Linked DNA regions of Nothobranchius furzeri. The protein of the gene in region 1 purifies or fractionates together with the protein of each later gene. This does not show direct contact. Links are inferred from orthologs where the notes say so. Each region holds a gene or a part of one and is shown in the gene's direction. Other genes may lie near its edges.

Region 1 (8,195 bases):
GCGCTGATAATGATCTGGGGCGACACTTGCTGCTTTTCCTAGCTGTCAACAAGTTATTGTAGGTGTTAAAGATTGGACGAATGTTAAAGAATAAAAAATCGAGCATTTATGAACTATTTATATTAAAATAAACGACAAAGACGAGCTCTTGTTTATCTGAATGCTTCTCTTAGCATCGTTAAGCTAAGCTAACAGTTAGCTGTTTTCTTCTCTTACTTCTCTTAAAGACTCATTAAATCTGTGATTTTACCCACCAGATGTTTGCTTTATAAGAACATCCTTCTGCTGAGGAGCAACGACAGAATTAATGTCTTGTTTCTTCTCTAGAAGTTGACTTTCAGAGGTGTTGCGTTGAAGATCTACTTCTTTCATGATGTTGGACACTAAAACAATCTGCGTCGTTAAATACGATCTGTGCCTAAATCCATCACTGCCGATCACCCCACACCGTGAATATTTATAGCAGGTTGTTTGTTTTGAAAACTGGAAAAAGTGCAACTGCTTGTCCTTTTTTAAAATTCATTTTAACAACTAGACCGTGTGTACGTGGCTCTGTTACATTTTGATCAGGCATCTGCTCAGACGCACACTTGGATTGCCTTTGTGGTGACTCACTGCTGCCATCTACTGGAGACAACCCATCAGTAGGGTCTTTGTCAAGACTGAACTGGAAACGGGTAAAACAAGAAGCACAACATCAGTCTTTCAGACCCTTACAAAGTCTGAGGAACTAACAACCCATACTTCTGGCTCCTGCGGAGGAAAACATTTTTATTTTAATTGAATTGTTTTGATTATTATTATTAAAATACTACCACACATACAGAGAACATACCCTCAATCCCACATGCACAAATAAAATTAAAAACACAGCTATTTGAAATCAATGTTAAATGTTTTAATTTTGTTTATGCTGTGCATGTACTTACTTCAGAATGTCAGTAAATATTCTAACATAGAGAATTTTAAGGACTGTTGCTTTTTTTAAAACTCTCTAATATGTTGATTAAACAAAGATAACACTTTAACTCATTTGAAAATGATGGTAATGAGGTTTTCCATAAAATCAAACTTTATTTGATTTGGCTGTTTATGAGATCAGTTCTCCAACTTTCCTGCTACAGAGCAGGCAACTAGAACTGGAGGCCTCAACACCTGGCTTTATTTGCATAGCATCTTTCAAGGTAAAAACCACAAAGCACTTCACATATAAAAAAATAAAAAATATATAACATAGTCAGGTACAAGAAAAAAAGCTTGTCATCAAAGTAAACCACATAGGTTACATAGTGCATGCAAGCACATTTCTGCTGAATATTGTCATCTTTGATCACTCAGAATAAAGGGGGATCACCTTAAAATTTAAATGTCATTTAAAGGAGCCAGATTGTGCTATTTTATGCCTTTGAGAGCAAAGGTAAGCTCAATATATGATCAAATATTATTGAGATGTAATTTATCTTAAATATGAGGGGGGTTTTTTTTTGTTCGCCTGAATATATACCCGGAACTGAAACGGTCTGTTTCAGTGAAGCTCCGCCTATGCTCGCTCTGACAAAATGGACCTAGAGTCTTCTGTTGACTTAGTAGTCCAGCGATTAAAGTGACCAGGCAGGTACTCTAGCCACTGGACTACAAGGATGTTACATAGCATTGGTTGCCTAAGACACATAGCCTGTGCTGGCCATTACGCGCATCTTTGTGGACAGGACCAAGACCATGAAACCAGACGGGAGATTTGGGAAATGACAGTGAACAGCACAGAGTATAGAGAAGAACATGGCGGAGAAAATGCTGTAACAATAAAGACTCAAGGGTTAAAGCTGCTCAGGGTGAGAGTCTGTGATGTTCCTCAGAGTCATCTCTCTCTCTGTGTCACAACTGTTGCTCATAAGCAGGTTCACCAGTAACTGGACAGGTTGGTGCTAAAGAACCTTCTATAACAAGCCAAACTCTTTTAAAACCAGTTGAAATCATTTAATTTAAGCCTTGATGATTTATTCTGAGAAAAGTGAGAACTTTAAGATTCGATCTGACTTTTATCAGTGCACGTCCTCAGAGCACGATAACAAGCCACCACTGCAAGTGTTTCAACCACGCCTGTCACGTTCTTTGAGATTTATCAGTTTGTAAAAAAAAATTGTAATTACTTTGACTACAAATCAGATGTTGGCACTTTGCATATATGTCACCCCAAATCTCAGCGTACCATATGGCAAGATTTATGGTTGTTCTTTCTGCAAGAAGGATTTGAAGCTTGCTAAACTTACAGGCATTTTTCCTCTGCTCTAGTTTGTGTCTGGTTCGATTAAGTCAATTTAGTGATGCACATTAGTTCTACATGTGTTTTCATACAAAACATAAAACAATGCTGGGTGTGTATAAGCAAATGCTCCCCAATGTAAAACACCCAAGAGTGCTATCACCAGATATAACAATATTATCAACTGTGTATGATTAGTCTTTGTTAGAATCTTCTGGTGCTGATGATCCGTAACTGCAACAACCATGAAACTCACGAGACAGTAGTAAGATAGTGATTGCGGTAACCAATTTTGACCACAGTATTTCATCTTACTATCTTCTTCCATAAATGGTTCAAATGCTTAACACCTTAGATTAGAAGATCACCTCTTTTTGACTGCGCTGTTTCTAATAAGTTTTGATTTGCTAATATGGAGTGGCTGAGTCTAAATATTCCTAACCTTCAGAATTTATTTGTTAACATGTTCTGTTGTTACTGACTTGCAAGTTAATATTTCGGATATGATGAATATGATTTTCCATCTGGGAAAATACCACATTCATTGCTGTAAATGGAGAGACATTGTACTGTGTTTCAACGTTTTTAACCAGTTTTTACTGTGTACTATGGGTTAATTACTAATTGCCCAATCAGTGTTTCTGTATCTTTTTGTTAAAATATTTTGGTGCTCATTTTCCTACACGTATGCATTTCACATAACCTTTCTGATAAGTCCTGTCTGTTTTAAGTTTTACTGTTTTACCACCCAAACTATTTGTTGCATGCTGCAAAATGTTATTACGTGCAACTTGAAATGATGTGCGTTTTTGATTGCTGTCCTCCTTCTTACTTTCCGCTCTCTTTCACAGTTTCCAATTGAATCCAAATACAATTAAATTCACTGCCTGTGAATGACTAAACTAAACAGAAAATATTTAGAATAAAAATCACTGGACAGATTGAATTAATGGTTGTCGAAAAAAAGACACAAATTGGAACCCATGTTTTCAGGCTCACTTGTTTCAGCCGGGGTGAACTGTCGGACACTATAGTGTGCTACACCGGTGTTAGAGTTCTGTGATGGAGTTTCGCTGACAGTCAGCCAGTAACGCTTCGTGACTTTTGTAGTTTTTGTCTATCAGCACAAGGACGTACACCAGTGACTTTCAGTTAGGCGACATGGCGGATAATATAGTAAGTATAATAGTTTGTGGTGTTAATGGTGCTAACGGCAGCTAGCCGGAGTCCTGCGGGATGAGGCAGCAGAATTAGCTTTGTTAGCTAACGTTAGCACAGAGTGACTGCGGCCTGTGCAGATAACTGGCCGAGCTTAGCTCCTTCTTACGATATCCTGATTAAAACAGGTCTGCTGTAAACCTTAAAGCCTTTTGAGCCTAGATGTTTCAATAATAAATTAAATGAGTGAATAAGTATTTTATCGTCTGCTCATTATATGAGTGTTATTGTAATTTTAGAGATACATAATCAGTTGGCTGTATACAAACCAACAAAAAGTATCAGATAAGTTTAATCTCCGTGTTATAGATTTAAAATACTTTCTAATAAACTCAGTCGTATAACCAAGCTTTAACGCTACCTTTTTCATTGTCCTTGTCATCTGAGAGGGACAAAAGTTGGAGAAATGTAAATGTTTTGATTCACTGATTTTCATTCCGAAACTCTGGGACATCCTGGTTTTATGATTAGCTGAAACTCAGACAAAAGTTTAACTTAAGCCTTATTTATTTATTTTTTTAGATAGTCAGGATTCAGTCCCCAGATGGGATGAAGAAAATTGCTTCCACCAAGAGAGAAACGGCAGCTGCCTTTCTAAAGAAGGTAAACAAGTTAACATACACATAATTTTCATTGGTGTTTACGTGTGTAGTGTTTTGTTGTTAGTGGCAAAATGGAAACAAACTAGATTTTAATCACAATTGTCTTTATACAGTATAAATAAGTGGATAAATATTTGGTAACCGATTTTCAATTGGCTAACTTTTTTTTTACTGGATAAAATGTTCTTGCTAAATGACATAATCTGACCAAATCACTGTTTTTGCAAACACATAATGTCAGTAAGTCCCATGACATTGGTTGGTAAATGGTAAATGGCCTGATATTTGATATAGGGCTTTCTAGAGTCCTGGAACCCCCCAAGATGCTTTACAAAAAAATTAGTCATTCACCCATTCACACACACATTCACACTTACATTGTAGCCACAGCTGCCCTGGGGCACACTGACAGAGGCAAATCTGCCATACAGATGCCACCGGTCCCTCCGAACACCACCAACAGGCAAGGTTGGTTGAGTGATTGCCCAAGGACACAACAACAGCGTCAGACTGAGCAGGGCTCGAATCTACAACCTATGCTTATTCATTTCATTTGGATTCAGTGGATATAAGATTTTGCAGCACAAAAACACAAGTCAAAATGAATAAACAAGCATGCTACGCTTTTTTAAACAATCACTTAGTAATTATTGCTGGCAAACATTTGGAATTTTACCAAACACGTGAGTTACAGGCAAGCCTGTAATCTCACACACACACACACACACACACACACACACACACACACACACACACACACACACACACACACACACACACACAAACACAGACTAAGATAAATTGACTAAAGATATGCAGAGAGTACCAGAGCAGGTCTGTCCTGCACAGCTCCTGTGAGCTTTCATGGCTTCCGGGTATTGACAAAAGGCTTGTGGGGAAATTTCCATTCAGGGAATCCAGTTGATGCTAGACAGGGCAGGTTTAATTTGGGGTTTAATTTACTAGTGCTGACATTTCACACAGTTTAAGACCGATTGACATATTTGGTAACTACCACAACTTGGCCTTTAATTTTCTTCTGGTTTTATTTAGTTATCTGATTGACTTAAGCACCCACAATAATAAGAGTTTAATTAAAAGCGTTGGCTTTGAAAGCCTGAAATAGATCAGAATTCCAGCAGCGTTGCAGCACTATCTAATTAAAAATGCATGCTACTGTGTTGCCGCAGGAGAGTGTAGTTTTCAGATCAATGGGAGGAGCAGATCTTTGTCCCTGATCAGTGGAAAAGAAAAACACAAGTGTGTGTGTGTTGGGAGGGGGGGGGGGGGGCTTATATGGTTTGGGCACTGAAGGTTAGCTGTTGAAAGAGATGATGAATGGGATTTATTTAAACATAGTGGCGTCAACAGCCTCTTGTGATTTTTGTCCATCCTGATCTCAAAGATTTATTTTATTTATTTATTTTTTTACAATATGCTAGTTAAGATGTTATCCAGATAGATTTCCTAAATGATGGGATGTTATTAGGATGCAGGACCTCCAACCTGCTCAGTGTACTCATCAGTTGTTGCAAACCAGCTGGACACCTCAAAAACTTTTGATTAATCTGCTTTGAGTGATCTGTAGCAATCACAAGCAGCCTTCACTCAGCAGGTGTCTAGAACAGACTATTAAATACATTAACCAACTTTAAGGTTTTACAACGGTATGTGATCATTTATGTCTCCTACAGGTGGCCAAAGAGTTTGGATTCAGTTCCAATGGGTTCTCTGTTTATCTAAACCGCAACAAGACCGGAGAGATTGTGTCTCAGAACAAAACCCTCAGTCTGCTAAAGATCAAGTGAGTTAAACTGGAAATCATAAGGGTTTGAATTTCAGCATTCAGTTGTGCCACATCTGTGGAAAACAACACATTTTTACATGGAAAGTAAATTCATAAATGCACGTTTTACTAAAAACATTGCAGTTTTTATTTTAAACGACAACACCCTGATTTCAAAAGTGATTTCCTACAACCATATACTAACCATTTAGGCGCCAGAGTTTTTTCAGGAAGCTGTTCAATTTTGACATGACTTTTTCAAAAGGTTGTAGCTCGGAAATGGTTAGAGATAAAGGTAAACTGTAAATGAGAGACATTTTCAGTAGGACCAAAATTCACTCTTCTAATTTGCATAATATGACGTCATCGGGCTGCCGTATTGGAATGCATCATTTTTACAGATGTTCCTTCTTATTTTTTCATGGTATTTAGAAAATGTCATATTTTGAATTTTTCAATTTATATATACATATATGAATTTCTTTGAAATTTAAATTTCATTGTTTATCTTTTATATATATATATATATATATATATATATATATATATATATATATATAACGTCAAACCCAACGTTTGGAATTTGTAAGTGTAGCACTAGCTGTTCAGCAGCGTCAATCTTTGCGGCTGGATGAGTGAATTTCTTCATCAGAGTCGATATTCTGCTTCATAATCGGACTCAGTCATGACCAGACAAAGATATCAGTCAACAAAGACCAGACTTGCCGGAAATCACAAGTTTTATCCCTCTAACATTCACCCTCTTTGTGCACTCGTCTTCTCCCCAACCGGTAACCTCTTAGCGGGAGGCAGTTTTCAAACCCTATAAACTCTGAAACTTTCAGTATAAACACACTCATAAATATAGCTCAGCCTGAAGTTGCATATCTCCACTATCTTCTGGTGTAAGTAATAATTTCATGAGGGATTGTATTTGTAGCTGTGGATCGTTAAAGTCAGTAATGACACTTGTCGCAGTATTGCAACTTTGGCGCTTAAAGGTGTAGGAGAAACTGGTTTGTCTCAGCCATATTTGTAGCGTTATGGTTTTAGGCTCTTTTATGAAAGAGGAACCATGCTACGTATTAATTCGGATTATTAATTTTAATAAATCAATAACCAAATTTTATATTGTTATGAAGACTCAAAGGTTGTTTTCATCGATAAACTGACGATAATATCTGTGTGTCTGTGTTTCAGTTCAATGAGGAAACCAGTTTGACAATTAAAAGTTTTAATTCTTCAAATTAAACTAATGATTTTGAAATTGACAAACAGGAAATAACAATCAACATTGGCAACTTGTGGGACAATCTTTAACAGTTGATATGATCAAATAGACCTTGTGGTGAATTTATGAAGATTGAGAATGTTGTGATATGAATGCGTGTGTGAGTCTGATTTTGCTTCAGGAAGAACAGGTGTCTGAGTGAAGTGATGGTTTGGATAAACTTAGGTCTTATCAGAGAACTGCATCAAACGCTAAACACCGTGCTCTGTCTCACCGAACTCTTGTGGACCCTCTTTCGGATCCGGGCCGTGGAGGATGGTGGTGGTTCATCCAGATGACACCAGCGGCTGACAGGGGAGACGTAGGTGTCGAACGGAACCGGTCCAGAGTTGCCCTCGGTACATGTTGATGGTAAAGCGTTTTGTCGATGCGTTTTCTTAAGTTAATTCACTCAGAAATCAAAGACACTGTATGAGTCTGCGTTAGAAGTTGCGATTCAGCTGTCCTGTCTGGTTAACAGGAACAGCGTGAGGGGGGGGGGGGAGAAACGAGCCAACCGGCTCCCCCCTTTTAGCGTTTATTCAGGTCCTCTCTCTTTCGTTGTCAAGCACGAACTGAAATCAAGACTGAAACTTACCAAAAACCTTTCTCTTCTCAAAGCAAATGTGTGCGTCAGCAAATGTGTTTGGAGTTTACTGTGAGAATCTGTGTGTGGGTGTGTGTGAGTGTTTGTGTGCTTGAGTGTGTGTGAAGGTCAGTAACAAACATCCTCAAACATTATTTAAGTATGGATTCATTAATCCATTATAATTACCCAAAGCATAAGAACCATTCATTTGATTAAAACACAGTTATAATGAGCAAATTGATGATTACTTTAACATTAAAATCAAGAAACCAAGTTTTAAGACTTGTTATGTTATGACTACTTTTATGGGAACAACATCTTCTGTGGGAACAACATCTTCTGGCACGAAGCTGCAGGTGGCAGATGTTATGGTTTCCTCCCAGACTCGCTGGCGTTCAGGTCTTAATCTGTGGATGAAAGTTCTCAACGACCCAGCTTTGACCCAGCTGAGTCCAACACCACCTTTG
Region 2 (8,095 bases), on another chromosome or scaffold:
TGGTTGGGAATCACAGGTCTAGATGACCAGCAAGTTCGACTCCTGAAACGTCTGTCAGATGGAGGCATGGTACACAGCCGGATGGCTGTGGTCCTAGATGAGGCTGGCCTCACCTGGCCTTGCTACTGGACGCACAGACGGCGTGTAACGTAATGGACGCATTTTACTCGCAAGCTCCTTTTCCAATGGGAGCATTACAGTGTAACATGTCGTTACTCTTACATTACACTTCGCAGACATTATGCTCCTCTTATGTAACGCGTCACACACATTACGATATTTGTACGTTATTCTTCTCAGACATTTCGTTCCTCTTATGTAACGCGTCAGACATTACGTTACTCTTACGTTACACTTCGCAGACATTATACTACTCTAATGTAACGCATCACAGACATTACGCTACTCTTATGTAACGCATCACACACATTACGATACTTGTACGTTATGCTTCTCAGACATAACGTTCCTCTTATGTAACGCGTCAGACATTACGCTATTCTTATGTAACGCGTCACAGACATTACGCCACTCTTATGTAACGCGTCACAGACATTACGTTACTTTTACGTTATGTTTCGCAGACATTATGCTACTCTTATGTAACGCGTCACACACATTACGATACTTGTACGTTATGCTTCGCAGACATTACGTTCCTCTTATGTAATGCATCACAGACATTACGTTCCTCTTATGTAACGCATCACAGACATTATGCTACTCTTATGTAACGCGTCACAGACATTACGTTACTCTTACTTTACACTTCACAGATATTATACTACTCTTATGTAACGCGTTGCAGACATTACGATACTCGTACGTTATGAAGAAGAAGAAAGTTTCATTTCTATAGCGCCTCTCAAGATAAAAATCACAAGGCGCTTCTGCCTTGCTTCGCAGACATTATGCTACTCTTATGTAATACGTCACAGACATTACGTTCGTCTTATGTAACGCGTCGCAGACATTACGATACTCGTACGTTATGCTTTGCAGACATTATGCTACTCTTATGTAATACATCAGACATTACGTTCGTCTTATGTAATGCGTCGCAAGACATTACGATACTCATACGTTATGTTTCGCAGACATTGCGTTCCTCTTACGCAACGCGTCACAGACATTGTGATACTTGTAGGTTATGCTTCGCAGACATTATGCTACTCTTATGTAACGCGTCGCAGACATTACACTACTCTTATGTAAAGCGTCACAGACATTACGATACTCTTACATTACACTTCAAAGACATTATACTACTTTTATGTAACCCGTCGCAGACATTATGATACTCGTACGTTATTTCTTCGCAGACATTACGTTCATCTTACGTAACGCGTCGCAGACATTACGATACTCGTACGTTATGCTTCGCAGACATTATGCTACTCTTATGTAATATGTCAGACATTACGTTCGTCTTATGTAACGCGTCGCAGACATTACGATACTCGTACGTTATGTTTCGCAGACATTATGTTCCTCTTACGTAACGCATCGCAGACATTGTGATACTTGTAGGTTATGTTTCGCAGACATTAGGCTACCCTTATGTAATGCGTCACAGACATTGTGATACTTACACGTTATGCTTCGCAGACATTACGTTCCTCTTACATTACACTTCGCAGACATTATACTACTCTTATGTAATGCGTTGCAGACATTATGATACTTTTGCATGACACTTTGCAGACATTACGCTACTCTTATGTAACGCGTCAGCGACATTACAATACTCGTATGTTATGCTTTGCAGACATTATGCTACTCTTATGTAATGCGTCGCAGACATTACAATGCTTTTACATTATGCTTTGCAGACATTATGCTACTCTTATGTAACGCGTCGCAGACATTACGTTACTCTTACGTTACACTTCGCAGACATTATACTACTCTTATGTAACGCGTCACAGACATTACAATTTTCTTACATTACACTTTGCAGACATTATGCTACTCTTATGTAACGCCGTCGCAGACATTACGTTACTCTTACATCACACTTCGCAGACATTACGCAACTCTTATGTAACGCGTCGCAGACATTGTGATACTTGTACGTTATGCTTCACAGACATTATGTTACTCGTACGTTATGGTTCACAGACATTATTCTACTCTTATGTAACGCGTCCTCCTTGGCCAAATTAATCAATGATGTGTCTTTTTTTTCAGTTTATAGGAGCTGCTATCATACAAGATAAGGAAATGGACCACATGGAGGAATATTTGGAGGTAAACTTGTTCAGATCTCCTCAGAAACTGCTGTGTTTGTTAGCTTCTCTTGATCAGAAACATGTCAATAATCACCGCTTTCCATAACTGTGGTGTTTGAGTGTAGCACATTAACGTAGACACACTTTCTGTCTACAGCCAATTGAGAGGGAGCCTCTGATCTATCACCTGGACTCCTCGTCCCGTCACACCGAGGTCAACCAAGATCTGCCTGACGAGTTCTTTGAAGTGACGGTGGATGACGTGCGAAAGCGCTTTGCCCAGCTGAAGAGCGAGAGGTGGCTGGATTGAAGTTTGTTTTAAAAGTCGTCGTGTGGTTCTTCTCAGTTTGAATCTGATTCTTTCTCAGCTTCGCGTGCCGTCCTGCTGTGTTTAGTGAATATTTAACCTTTAATTGTTGAATACCAAAGCGGTGATGGGAGTACGCCAGGCATCACTGCTGGTTCTTTATTTATTATTAGTTTGAAGCTTTCATCTAATTATGTGTGCTTCTTTAAAGCAGATGCATGTAAGATTGCTCTGTGTGTTTGTATTCATGCTTTTTATGAAACACCACACACACTACAAAGGCTTCCACAGGCTGCACACTGGGAACAATTAGCTGGACTGTTTTGTGCAGATCTTCTAGTCTTTGACTGAACTCTGTCAGGTTGGGACCTCATCACGCTCAGCCTTTAATCTCTGTCAACATTAACTTAGCAGGCTGCCTCTTAGCGACGCTGCTACCATGTCAATGACTGCAATTACTGAGGCTGGAATGAAGCCGACCACAGCAATCTGTCTGCCTCTGACAAGCGCAACACGAATACATGGCCACACACGAGCGAGGCAGGAGATCCAGCGCCGCTCATCCTCTCACAAACAAACAAACGACATTTGAACCTGTTTGTTTGTCTCTCGTTTCTTTAGGAAGTCATTAGAGGAGACGCCACTCATGACTAAATCCATGAGAGAGACTCGGATGAAAGAGAAGATCGAGCGATATCCGAAAGTGAGTTCTGTTTTCAGACACAATCACATTCCTTTCATCTAAACCACTCCGCTCTATAAATAACCTCTGCTTCTCCAGGTGGTCCTGAGGGTCCAGTTTCCTGACAGACATGTTCTGCAGGGCTTCTTCAGGCCTCTTGAGACAGGTGTGTGTTTGTGTGTTCATTTCACCTGGCTAGCCACAGGTATGGCTGCAATGTGGAACATTCTCGTGGCTCTTCACCACATTCATGACTGCAGCGGAGTGACGGAGACCGAGAGAAGCAGACGAGTCTATAATTCCAGGGATTAGAGGCATCAGAACAACAAATTAGAGGGGAATTCCTTCTGAAACGTGATCTACAGTCGGCACGGCGAGCGTCGGAGGCTTGGTGTGGTTTGTAATGCTCCAGCTGATTTTCTCTGTCTTCTGCCCAGTTGGTGTGGTGAAACAGTTTGTGAGGAGTCACCTGGAGGATCCTAGAGTCAGTTTTTACCTGTGTAAGTGTTCTGTCTTGCTGAAGTTCCTGCCATCCATCGCATTACAAGTCTCAAACACCAGTGCTCCTATCAGATTCACTTTAATGTTGCCACTTTTTCCACTATGCTTCATATTTAATTTTATTATTCTTCATTCAACCAACAAATCCACTTCTAAAGGAAGTAAACGTTGATCAAACGATGACCGAAACATGGATTAAGATGAAAATGAAGATTAACTTTCAGGTTTAACCTTTTGTCATTAGGTCAAGTAAGGATCGTCTTCTGAGTATTTATTTCTTTTTACAGTCATCACCCCCCCTAAAGTGATCCTAAATGATCCTGCAGCAACGCTCCTACAGGTGAGTCTCTGGGGACTCAGGTGATCATTATTATTTCAGAATGCAAGAAAACCATCAGGTGTGTGTGTGTATGTGTGTTTGTTTGTTTGTTTGTTTGTTTGTTTGTTTCTTTGTTTGTGTGTGTGTGTGTGTGTGTGTGTGTGTCTTGTACATACTACATACTGAGGACTGTTTTCCCTACAAAATGAGGATATTTTTCTGGTCGTCGCTTTTTTAAAAGCTTACCAGCTGGTTTTAGAGATCTGGTGTGTATTAAGTTTAACTTAGGGTGAGGCAGAGTGGAGTCACTAAAATGAATGGAAGTCAATGGAGGTCCACACAAACATATAAATACGTGTGTGTGTGTGTGTGTGTGTGTGTGTGTGTGTGTGTGTGTGTGTGTGTGTGTGTGTGTGTGACTGTGTCTGTGTGTGTGTGTGTGTGACTGTGTCTGTGTGAGTGTGTGTGTGTCTGTATGTGTGTGTGTGTGTGTGTGTGTGTGTGTGTGTGTGTGTGAAAAAGAGAGAAGATCAAAGCGATGCCTGTATTAACCCCATGTGCCAGTCTGGGAAAAATCAAGCCCAGCTGGGGTCAAGGACAGTGGAGCCGGCAGGGGGAGGGTGTGCTTTGAAGAGGAGACATGCACACACACACACACACGCATGCACACACACACATGTATTTTTGTCATAGTGAGGACCATCCATTGACTTCTGTTCATTTTTGTGACTCCACCATGCCTAACCCGTACCCTAACCTTAAAGTGACGGAGTATTTTCCCTGGCGATAAGGGAGGTAGATGCCTAAATCGTTGCAAGCAAGCAGAAATTTTTTGTCGGAGTAAGACCTTACCAAGGGATGCCCATTAGGGTCAAAAAGCCCCAGGGAGTGCTAACTTCAGCAAAATAACGAGCACATCGGACACTTTCATCAGTGGTAACAGGTGAAGAGATGAATGTGTAAAACAACAACAGGTTGTAATCGTTTGTTACAAATCAGTAAATACACTTTGTCCTCATGGGCTCCCGTAGAACAGACCCACTCCCATGTATTTTAGACCTGATTTTTATGGTTATATGTCACAAAACTGCCAATATTTTTCAACAACTGGGCATCATTTCATTCTTTTTCAGCACATTTTGAATCCAGAAATGATTTAGTAAAAACTACATATTGTCTCTTTAACTAAAACTTCATTCACACTAGACCTCTAAAACATACTAAAGAAGTGAGGACCAAAAACATGTCCTCGCTTTGAAGTACACACACACACGCGCACACACACACACACACACAGCCAGTGAAACTTAGTAATAAAACTGTTTCTTTAAGGTTTTATAGTTGTTGTGTTTTTTAAGAACAAAGGAACGTGTTTGTCATCATCCTCCTTTGAATCTGGACCTGAAAAGTGGGGTTGGGGTTTGTGTCATGATGATGATGATGATGAAGAGATTGAGTCCTCAGAGGATAACAACCCTGGAGACCATAACAGCACACGTTCAAACGTCTGCGTCGGTGTTCGTTTCGGTCCAATCAGACGTTCTGATGAATGTTTCTCATCTTTCTTTGTTCTTCATCGTCCCGTCTTCTTTTACCTCTCCCTCTCCTTCTCCCCAACTCCATCTTTTTGAGCGTCCTTCGCCTGCAGCACCCAGATGATGTCTCTGTCCTGTGCCTCCCCCTCCTCTCACCCCCGTGTCTCCATCCATCAGAGACCTGAAAGCGTTAACGTGCACAAAAACAAAATCCATAATCCCGCAGTGTCACTTCAAACACTCACAAACTGTCTGGCACTATTTTGTTGTCTATACCTCAAATTTTAACATGGAACACACGAGGAACCTTTCATCTTCTCTCTCTTGTCATGTCACGCATACATGGCTGCATATGTCTTTCTTTTAGGCGCACACAAACACACTAACTTTAATCACTTTGTGTCATGTCAGGAAAGGAATGTTTCCCAATCCAGAAGTCTTTGATACCAGCGTCCCCTCCCTCACCCGTCTGCCCCTCCATCTTCCACCAGGATCTGTTCAGCCTCTTTCTCTTTTTACTTGTGTGTTTCTACACACACTCTTTCTCCCTCTCTCACACACACACGCACACACACTCTGGTCTCATCAGCTCGTCTTATCCGGAGTTCTGCAGCCAGAGGGAACAGGATTGCTGGCATTCCCGATGTTCCACTGTAGCACGTTGTTTCCTGCTCACAGAGCTACGTTGATAGCAATTAGGCTGCTGCGTCCCCATTTAGCATCCAGCTACACAAAAGGACAGAGTGAGGATGGCGAGCGTGAGACAGGTTGTGGTGTAAACTCATCTGACCCCAGCAACAACCGGCCTGTTTGTGCTGCAGATTGTTCTAAAACGACTTGACGCAGAAGAGCTTCCTGCTTCTCCTTCCTACTGGTTGAAAGTGGAATTACAACTGTCATAAACAACCCTGCTGTTGCTAACGCTAACATGAGCCAACTTATACTAAATAAACCACAAAGTAAATACGTCCACATATATTATTACCTACAAGTCCAGTAGCAACAAAGCCAGGTCACCATCAGTTTGTGATGTCGTAGCCTCCTTTAGCTCCCTAAAACTAGGCTGCGCCAATCTTCGTTCTGGTTTCAGCTCTTTGCTTCACCTCCACAGACATTACTTTCTCACTTTTACTTCCAGGTTCCACCATGATGCCAACTAAAAAAAACTAAATCCTTCCTCTCATCGTGCTGTAGCGTGGCCGAGGTCATGTATTTCGATGTCAACCTGACACCAGGAGGTGTTGATTATAAATATATCTTAACTTGTCCAGTGGCCTTGTTTTTAAGCTGTAAACTAAAGAATCATTTCACGAGACAAATATACGATAGCTTTTATTAAACGGTGTTGGATAAAAGTCTTGTAGATAAGGCCACTGGACAAGTTAAGTGATATTCATAATCGACACCTCCTGGTGTCAGCTTGACACACCCTGTGTCATTGCAGAAAGGTACCTTTTATTGAAATGTTTACGTTTATTTATTTGGCAGACAATTTTATCCAAAGCGACTTACAATTTATAACCTGTAGGCCATGTTGTGATCTGTGGGGGAAACCGGAGTACCCGGAGGAAACCCACGCATGCATGAGGAGAACACGCAACTCCATGCAGAAAGGCTGTAGCCGAGTTTCGAACCTGCAACCTTCGTGCTGCGAGGCAGCAGTGCTAACAACTGCGCCACCATGCAGTGGCGCAGTTGTTAGCACATGCAGAAATACATGGCCTCGGCCACGCTGCAGTGCTTTTGATTGATGGTCGGTGAACTAAAAAAGCTAGCCTTTATATGAGCTACCAGCTCAGTAAACAGCTATTGGCATAAAGCAGATGGAGACCTCCAACTAGTGTTCTCACCCAAACCACTAAACTGTTAAGTACAGTTTCTGGTCAGCAGAGGGCAGCAGAGTGCTGTCCCATGTGAAGCTGCTCAGGCCACTAGCCCAACAATCACTGAAATCCACTTTCAAAGCAATAGCTTAAGTGGTCGAATCTCTTTAGTGTTGCTTTAAATCACTAATAGCCAGCATTTCTAGATCGATATTTCAATATCTTTGTGATTTTTATGCCAGCATTGTGGTGGCTCATCAGTAGGGGGCCATTAGGTCGGTCAGCGCAGTAACGTTGGAGTTACCGTGAGTCTAAGGTTTCTCCCCTTCCGGCTCATGGGTCCCTGAACAGGACTATAAAGCTACTTTCTAATCTTTCACTCTGAATTACACAAACAGGTGCCGATCATAAAATGACAATATCAGGACAAAGTTGATTTACTTCAGTAATTCCATTCAGAATGTGAAACTTGTAAATTAGATTAATTCATTACAACATACTGACGTACACTACCGGTCAAAGGTTTTAGAACGCCTCAATTTTTCCACTTATTTATTGCAGTTTAAGTCATTCAAGTCCAATAAGTAGCTTGAAATGGTACAAAGTTAAGTGGTGAACTGCCAGAGGTTAAAAGAAAGGTAAGGTTACTCAAAACTGAAGAATATTGCACATTTCAGGATGATACAAAACAGCCTTT
Region 3 (7,701 bases), on another chromosome or scaffold:
AACTAATTTTTCGCAGTTAACTTCGATAACGCTTCTCCAACGTCAACTTGAGTCATAGCTTGCGTTAGCAGAGGCTAGGCTAGCCAACAAGTTAGCAGACTTTCTTCTTAAAAGATGAACTTTTTTCTCACATTCTTCGCAGAATTGAACCAAATTCAACTTGATCGATAAGAAACGAGCGTGTTTGGCCTCTTGAGTGTTTTAACACGAGGGCTGGTTTCTCTCCACTCAACATTTTGCTAAGTGAACGTTAGCGCTGCTGTCAGTCAGGCTGACACAGAACTTTTGAGCACCTACGGTGTTTTAGCTCTGCTGAATCGGTGTGTTTTTGATGTTTATCTAAAGTTGTACCGTAGTTTGTAATTTGACGGGTCTGTAGTCTGTCAGTCATTGAGCTCATTCACTTTTGAGGTAAATTGTCCCTCAAATCCACGAAAGTTTACTGGAAAATAAACTTAGAAGGCGAGTCCAGTTCTCCTCTTTGGCTAGTACATGTGTATTTGTAGAATATCAGATGCATCCCACAATATATGAGCCCAAATGAGTAAATGGTTCAATTAAAACTTATTGAAAAGGCCTTTTTGCCTTTTTTATTCTACACAAAAACATGTTTTACTGCAGTCAGTGTCAATGTTTGATTCAAAGTCAGGAGAATTGTACACAATAACATCGTTTTACAGTTTAAGTACATTAAAATCAGATGATTGTTGTCCCTGAATGTTTTGTGGCCAGGATTCAGTAGGATTGTTTTCACATTTACATTGACGCATTAGCTGATGTTTATTTGTTTTTAATATTTACATTTTCACGAGTTTCCCTGTTGATGCTTGTGCAGCCTTGTGTCAGCACCTAATCAGATGTGATTACTGTTGAACTCGTTGTTCCAAAGCCTCAGTTTGGCATTAATAGTTGATTAATAGCGTTGATCTGCAAAGGTAATAACGTGTGTGTCTTGCTGAAGATTCACTCCTGGACATGGTGTCTACATTAGCAGCAAATGCCTTCACGAGGCCAGAAAATCAAGCTAACAACAGAAAGTCTGTCGGGACAAGTCTGGATTTTCCAAGTTTAAAACCTAGAAGAAGCCTTGTAGTGCTGCACATCGAGTCCACGCAGAAGATGAGGCCGTGATGATCTCTGTCAGGGTAAACCAGCTGATGCTTTGGGAGAGAGAGTTCTGACCCGAGTTATAGGATCTATTGAGTTTACCGCCAGTCCCACCAGAGGGGAACATGAACGGTTTTAAAGCAGTTCTTCAGCCTGTAGGAGGAACTTTAGATCATCTCTCTGACTTTGTGTTCACGTCTAACAGGACTTAACGGGTCTGGACTCAATGGACCAATGCCGTCGAACGTTAGAGCAGCACAACTGGAACATAGAGGTGCAGCCGCTTCCCTTGGCTTCGTAACGTCTATTCTCATGTGTGGATTCTCTGAGCTGAGCGCCGTGTGTGTGTGTTCTCTACCCTTTTCTCAGGCTGCAGTCCAAGACAGACTCAATGAGCAGGAAGGCGTTCCCAGTGTGTTTAACCCTCCACCCTCCAGGCCGCTGCAGGTCAACACAGCAGACCATAGAGTTTATAGTTACATCGTCTCAAGGCCGCAGCCCAGGGTAGGTCTGTGATGTCATCACTCAGACAGGAAACTGCTTCCTGTCAAAGTACAAATCTACTTAAATTGCTCCTTCTAAAACCATACTCTAGTTCCTCTTCATGTTTTATGGTAACTTAATACCTTTAATTTCAGTTTTTACTTCTTTATGTGTGACTCTGTTTTTGCTCTCGTGACGTCTTCATGCTCTTCCTCTCAGGGTTTGCTAGGATGGGGTTACTACTTGATAATGCTGCCATTCAGATTTACATATTACACACTTCTGGATATATTCAGGTAATCGGAGCACTTTGGTCGTGTGTCATCGTTCTATTCACCAGAGTAATCAGCTGTTTTTGTGTCCTCGAGGTTTGCCCTGCGGTTCATCAGGTCGGATCCTCGTGGGCGCGTGACGGACCCCGTTGGAGACGTCGTGTCTTTCATTCAGAGTTTTGAGGAAAAGTACGGTCAGGCACATCCTGTCTTCTACCAGGGGACATACAGCCAGGTTAGTTCACGTCAGAGGCGTGTCTTATTATGGGATGTTCAGCAGGCTCACCGCCCAGCTTGTTGTGTTGATACAGGCGCTGAATGATGCCAAACGGGAGCTCCGCTACCTTTTAGTGTACCTTCACGGGGACGACCATCAAGACACAGACGAGTTTTGCCGGTATTCCTTTCTGTCCTTAACATATCTCACACCATCGGTACACTAATGAACCGTGTGTGTGCTCATCTGTTCACAGCATATAATCTGATTATTCATACAATAGTTTTAAAGGTGTGGTTCTAATTATAATCGGTCTGAGGTTTTCATGCAGGCTGAACATGAAAAGTTCCTCCACCTATGTCCTGCATTAGCTTCTGACAGATCTAGACGGTGAAAGTCTAGAATTAGAAAAGCCTGACAGATCTACGTCACCATGTCACTAACGTTCATGCACTCACCCGTCTGGAATCACGACGAGGAAGGCTGCTGTTGGTTTAGCGTCCAGGAAACAGCAGAGAACGTGTCGGCTAGTAGAAGCTTACGTTAGCGTTAGCAACTACATCACACAGCAGAACTCCAAGTTTGAGTTGAGTTGCAAAGTGGTAAAGTCGCGTTGCTGTTAGCCAATCAGAGGCGAGATGTCCGAATATCAGGAAGTAAGACTCCAGATCCTGTCGTCTGAAGTTCTCTGATCTGGTCATTCTCTAGATTCTGAAACAGAGTGTGACGTACGAGGCCTTCATTCCTGCTAGAGACCTCTGCAGATGCACTGATTAATGAGTGAACCACACCTTAACTGTTAGATGAGGTGAACATATTCATCCTTTCCTCTGATCTGTGGCTCCTCAGCTCCACGTTATGTACAGAAGAGGTCATAACCTTCCTCAACACACGGATGCTCTTCTGGGCATGTTCCACCAGCAAGCCCGAGGGCTACCGAGGTGTGTATGCCCGTTCATTCGTTCATCTGTTATCAGTGTGACCCCGGCTTTCCACAGCAGCCGTCAGCAGCACGTTACTGCAGCAGCACGTCATAGCTGCTGATAGGAACGGCTGTGGTCAACAGAACCTTTTCCACAGGAGCCGTCAGCAGCTGTCAGCAGCACGAGTCGGCCGCGTCTCAGGAGCAGCATGTCGCGGCCTTTACGCGCCGGTTCTATTTCCTACGCGCGACGCCTCTGAAACGGGTCAAGTTCGACATTTTTGGGGAAGGAAAGACAGGAAATCGGACGCGGAAATGGAGAGAAGCTCCCGAAATTTTCAGAATAAAGAACGTACTGCCTTCCGGTCGCTTTACTTTAAAAAAGGTTACTAACTGTGCGGCCCCGTGAGAAGTTATCACCTAGCTAGCGGTCTCCTTTGTTTTTCAGGTCCGTATCGGCGATTATAAAACGGACAGAATATAAAAACACAAACATTTTGGAGCCATGTTGTAGTTTTCTCCTGCTTGTTGTTGTGTTTACTGACGAAGTCACTCGTGTGACTTCGTGCCCTGTCGGTGACAGCTGCTCCTCTGCTGCGTCGCGTCTCGTGGGAAGGGCCAAGCAGCAGCTAGACGTGCTGCTGCAGTAACGTGCTGCTGACGGCTCCCGTGGAAACCTGGGGTAAGTCTGGCTGCTCTGAAAACAACAAACACTCTGATATCACTGGTAAACAACATGTTGAGACCAGGGCTGGGCAATAAATCCACTCTTACCGAGATAATTGTTCCCGTCTCAGGAATGAGATGAGAACATGAAATATGTGTGTGAGCTGGCAACATTCATGTCCTGTAAGAAGCTGCACCACCTTCAGTGGCATACCAGTGTGACTCAACCTGGAACACGTGACATCTAGTGGACAACTGTTGTTCCTGCACACACCTGTAGTTCTAGTCTGTTCATCGCTAGCGAGGTGAAATCCTCTATATGTCGTGATATTAGTTGTAGGCCATGCCGCCCAGCCCTAGTTCAGACCCATGTGGAGTCCCCAAAGCTAGAAGCTAGTGCTGCTTTTCTGTCCTACAGGGACTCTTCTGTTAGCTTGAGTGGCTACAAAAACATTAAGATCCGTGCAGAAGCGTGGTAATAATGGTAGTCCACTGGGCTTTTGTGTAACAATGGTTTCTATACCAAGTGTCCCAAGCGTTGCGGGAGAACACCTACCCATTCCTGGCCATGATCATGCTAAAGGACCGGAAGATGACCGTGGTGGGTCGGCTCGAGGGTCTGATTCAGCCTGAGGAGCTCATCAATCAGGTCACCTTCATCATGGATGCCAACCAGACATACCTGATGTCAGAGCGCCTTGAGCGGTACGTCAGACCAGCTGGAGTTAGTGAGACCGTCGTCACATTCTCTACAGCTGAAGTAGCAGCGAGTGAAGACTGAAGTGTTGTTTCCAGAGAGGAGAGGAACCAGACCCAGGTGCTGAGGCAGCAGCAGGATGAGGCCTACCTGGCCTCCTTACGCGCCGACCAGGAGAAGGAGAGGAAGAAAAGGGAGGAGCTGGAGCAGAAGAAGCAAGAGGAGGAAAAGGTCCGACAGAGTGCTCTTGCAGAGGAGAGGAGACGAAGAGTGAGTCTGGTCGTCTTCGTTTGTACATGGATACGTTGGTCTTCCCCTACATGTCTGATTCCTGTTGTTGTTTTCACTCCAGACACTAGAAGAGGAGAAGGAGAGGAAGTCGGAGTGCCTTCCTCCAGAACCATCTGCTGATGATCCAGAAAGTGTTAAAATAGTGTTCAAGTTGCCCAACGACACACGAGTAGAGAGGCGGTTCCTGTTCGCTCAGTCTCTGACGGTGAGCGCTGGTGTCTTTGGTCTCCTTCACACGCCTCTGGTCAATGTTTGGTTATTAGACGCTGACATGTGATGAAACATCTACATGTTTCTTCTTCCTTCCACAGGTAATCTACGACTTCCTTTTCTCTTTGAAGGAAACTCCAGAGAAGTTTCAGATCGTGACAAACTTCCCTCGCCGAGTCTTGCCCTGCCTTCCGACTGCAGAGCAGCCCAACCCCCCCACGCTGAAGGAGGCAGGACTCAGTCGCTCCGAGGTCGTTTTTGTTCAGGACCTCACGGACGACTAATAGATGACTTACCTCGTCTACATGGAGACACGTTTATCTCTGACCCACCCATGTTGTTTGGTTTGTTTTGGTAAATGGCCGTTTTACAGAAGGGATGGTTGCTATAGAAACTAACCTGGATCACTAAACCACCCTGCATCCAGTGCTCCTTCACTTGTGTTGACAGGGTTCCCATTAGCCTGCAGTCTTGAATTTTATCAAATAAATATTTCTTGAAGTGGTTCCTTGTGTGGAGAAACTGTTGTTGGTGTTAGCTAACAGTTATCCTCCTCCCAGCAGTGAGACTAAAGCTGCAGCACAACCTCCTCGTCCCACACAAGCTGTCACAACCGAGGAAGACTGGTTGTTAGTTACTCGAGGGGAGTTCCCTGCTGTTTCTCTTGGTTCATGCTTTAGCCCACAACCCCTACAGCGATTATCAAGCACAACTAGCACGGTCCAAGTCTGAAGCAGCTGTGATCGAGAGTTGAAAGGATGGGAACCCTGTTTAAATGAGCCATCACTTGTACATAAGTTAAATATTTAAATGCCCACTATTGTTTTTATTTGACTCGTCATGAAACGACCAAATGCAGGTTTGTTACTATGTAAAGCAGACTGCCTCCAGCTCATGAAGTTAAAACGTACAATATTTAACGAAGGCCACAGCTTTTACATGTGGCTCTATGTAGTTTAGTCTGCCCATAGTGTGCCTGTGGTTACTCATAGATGCCTGTTTTGCCTGTAATATCTGAATGGGCTCATGTAAAGATGTAATTTTCCAACTATAAATTAAACATGTTTTAAAAATGTGGGTTTATTGAATATAAAAGCAGCTTTTTTCTTGATTCGTTTTGAGAACTTGTCTTTAAATCAGCCACTGGTCCGAGTAGCGAGTATACATCATACATTTATTAGTGAACAACCCTCTCCAGTCAGCCACAACAATTAAAAAATGATTGCACTACTTGGTAAAGCATAACTAGCAACTTTCATTTAAAAAAAGTACAAATCTTAAAAATTTCAGACAGTATACAGATGTATACAGAATACACCAACTAGTGTTAAATGCTACAAACAAAACGATTCCAATGGAATGAAGAAATGATGACATCATTTCCTATATAATATATATTAGTTGTTTTCTCCCTCCACCCACGGGTACAAACATGGAAAACAAAAACAATGAGGTAACTGTAAATGTGCAAGTACCAAAGCAAACATCTGCCTAACCGCACACACGCCCCTGGCTCTGGTGGTGGGGCTAGGCTGGCTCTCCGGAGGGGACCCACCATCCCACCACTGCTAAACAACACAAACCAGATCATTGGTAAACAATAAATGGTGTCTACACAGCAAATGATCACAAACCCTACATAAACTAGCTGCTTATTGGAAAACATCTGTGCACCACAAGCTGGGATTACTCTTACTGTCGTTAAAATGAGCTTGTTGCCTAGCCTTTAATGGGAGGTTCCTTTAGTTTTATATGATACTGTCAATTAAATATCTCCTTTAAAAAGAACAGTGCTAACATTGTGATACCTATATGTGAACAATACATTTTAGTTATTCATACACAGAGCCCGACAGGCAGATACATTACTACACTGAAATAAGTATGACAACACTTTGATTCTTTTTTTCTTCTTTTCTTTTAATCCCTTAAACTAGAATAACTTTCACCGACATCGTTTAGGGGTATTGGTACAACATGCTTTAAGAATACATAAGTCCATGACAAACTATTGCATTCACGCGCGTGAGTTTCATACCTAAAAGCGACACCTAGCACCTTGTCACTATGGCTTTTTGAGAAGACTACAGTAGTTTCAGAGCGTGTACTCGTTCAGTCATCAGGGCAATAACAGTAAGTTCCTGCTCTCCGGACCTTTTCTTACCCCCCCTCGCTATAAAATGAACGTAGCGCATAAAATCTTGTAGTCATTCAGTTCTATTACAAATGTGTGCAGTACAATGCATGGCAGTTATCAGCTGAGCGTTAGGATCCAAACCTCCAGAACCCAAAGCCGACTAGAGCTAAAGGAATAAAAAAGAACAGTTGGGGTCCGGTTAACAAGCATGCATATTGTGCACCTTTAAATAGGTCCCCACCAGACTGAGATAATCCTCCACTAGAACACATTTGTTTTACTTTTATTTCTCTGTAATAAGTCATGCAAACACCTGTGAAGTGGGTCTAGGAGTGAATCGGGAGGAAGGAGTGCACCGTGGCACGTTTAGATACGGGACCACAACTGAACATGTGGGTTTGAGTACAAGAACAGAAGTAAACAGGTCTGGATAACACGGTAATGAGTCTTTTTCAGTGAATATCGTTAACATACTTATTCTTTTCCTGCATGCCGCTCTTTATACGGTGTAATATCTACTATTTCAGACAGAACAGAATATCATTGATTACATGAAATCATTTAAAGAAAACCGACCAAACTAAATTCAGATATACCCTTTTCATGGCATCCTTACCATTTCACCTTTATTTTTATATACCGAGGCCCTGAGTGATTTTTTTAACATACAATATATGCCAGCAAATAGATATGTACACA

Evidence for each region.
Region 2: the proteins of nploc4 (region 1) and aspscr1 purify together in Homo sapiens (affinity purification with mass spectrometry; 3 studies listed by BioGRID and IntAct, with this or other methods). This does not show direct contact. The link is inferred for Nothobranchius furzeri from reciprocal best matches to the Homo sapiens genes NPLOC4 and ASPSCR1.
Region 3: the proteins of nploc4 (region 1) and faf2 purify together in Homo sapiens (affinity purification with mass spectrometry; 3 studies listed by BioGRID and IntAct, with this or other methods). This does not show direct contact. The link is inferred for Nothobranchius furzeri from reciprocal best matches to the Homo sapiens genes NPLOC4 and FAF2.

Annotation. Positions count from the first base shown.
Region 1 is NC_091756.1:53,432,330-53,440,524, reverse strand, and holds the start of nploc4 (nuclear protein localization protein 4 homolog), read left to right. Parts: upstream 1-3,289; 5' UTR 3,290-3,424; coding exon 3,425-3,439; intron 3,440-4,003; coding exon 4,004-4,084; intron 4,085-5,777; coding exon 5,778-5,887; intron 5,888-8,195. Other genes in the region: gastrula zinc finger protein XlCGF57.1, read right to left, coding at 255-372. UniProt on the Homo sapiens protein: The ternary complex containing UFD1, VCP and NPLOC4 binds ubiquitinated proteins and is necessary for the export of misfolded proteins from the ER to the cytoplasm, where they are degraded by the proteasome.
Region 2 is NC_091746.1:22,805,106-22,813,200, reverse strand, and holds part of aspscr1 (tether containing UBX domain for GLUT4), read left to right. Parts: intron 1-2,190; coding exon 2,191-2,250; intron 2,251-2,388; coding exon 2,389-2,528; intron 2,529-3,159; coding exon 3,160-3,241; intron 3,242-3,319; coding exon 3,320-3,386; intron 3,387-3,657; coding exon 3,658-3,720; intron 3,721-4,008; coding exon 4,009-4,061; intron 4,062-8,095. UniProt on the Homo sapiens protein: Tethering protein that sequesters GLUT4-containing vesicles in the cytoplasm in the absence of insulin. Modulates the amount of GLUT4 that is available at the cell surface. Enhances VCP methylation catalyzed by VCPKMT.
Region 3 is NC_091742.1:44,985,108-44,992,808, reverse strand, and holds the end of faf2 (FAS-associated factor 2), read left to right. Parts: intron 1-1,312; coding exon 1,313-1,381; intron 1,382-1,476; coding exon 1,477-1,611; intron 1,612-1,809; coding exon 1,810-1,886; intron 1,887-1,958; coding exon 1,959-2,097; intron 2,098-2,173; coding exon 2,174-2,259; intron 2,260-2,928; coding exon 2,929-3,020; intron 3,021-4,194; coding exon 4,195-4,372; intron 4,373-4,462; coding exon 4,463-4,634; intron 4,635-4,716; coding exon 4,717-4,860; intron 4,861-4,966; coding exon 4,967-5,149; 3' UTR 5,150-5,371; downstream 5,372-7,701. UniProt on the Homo sapiens protein: Plays an important role in endoplasmic reticulum-associated degradation (ERAD) that mediates ubiquitin-dependent degradation of misfolded endoplasmic reticulum proteins.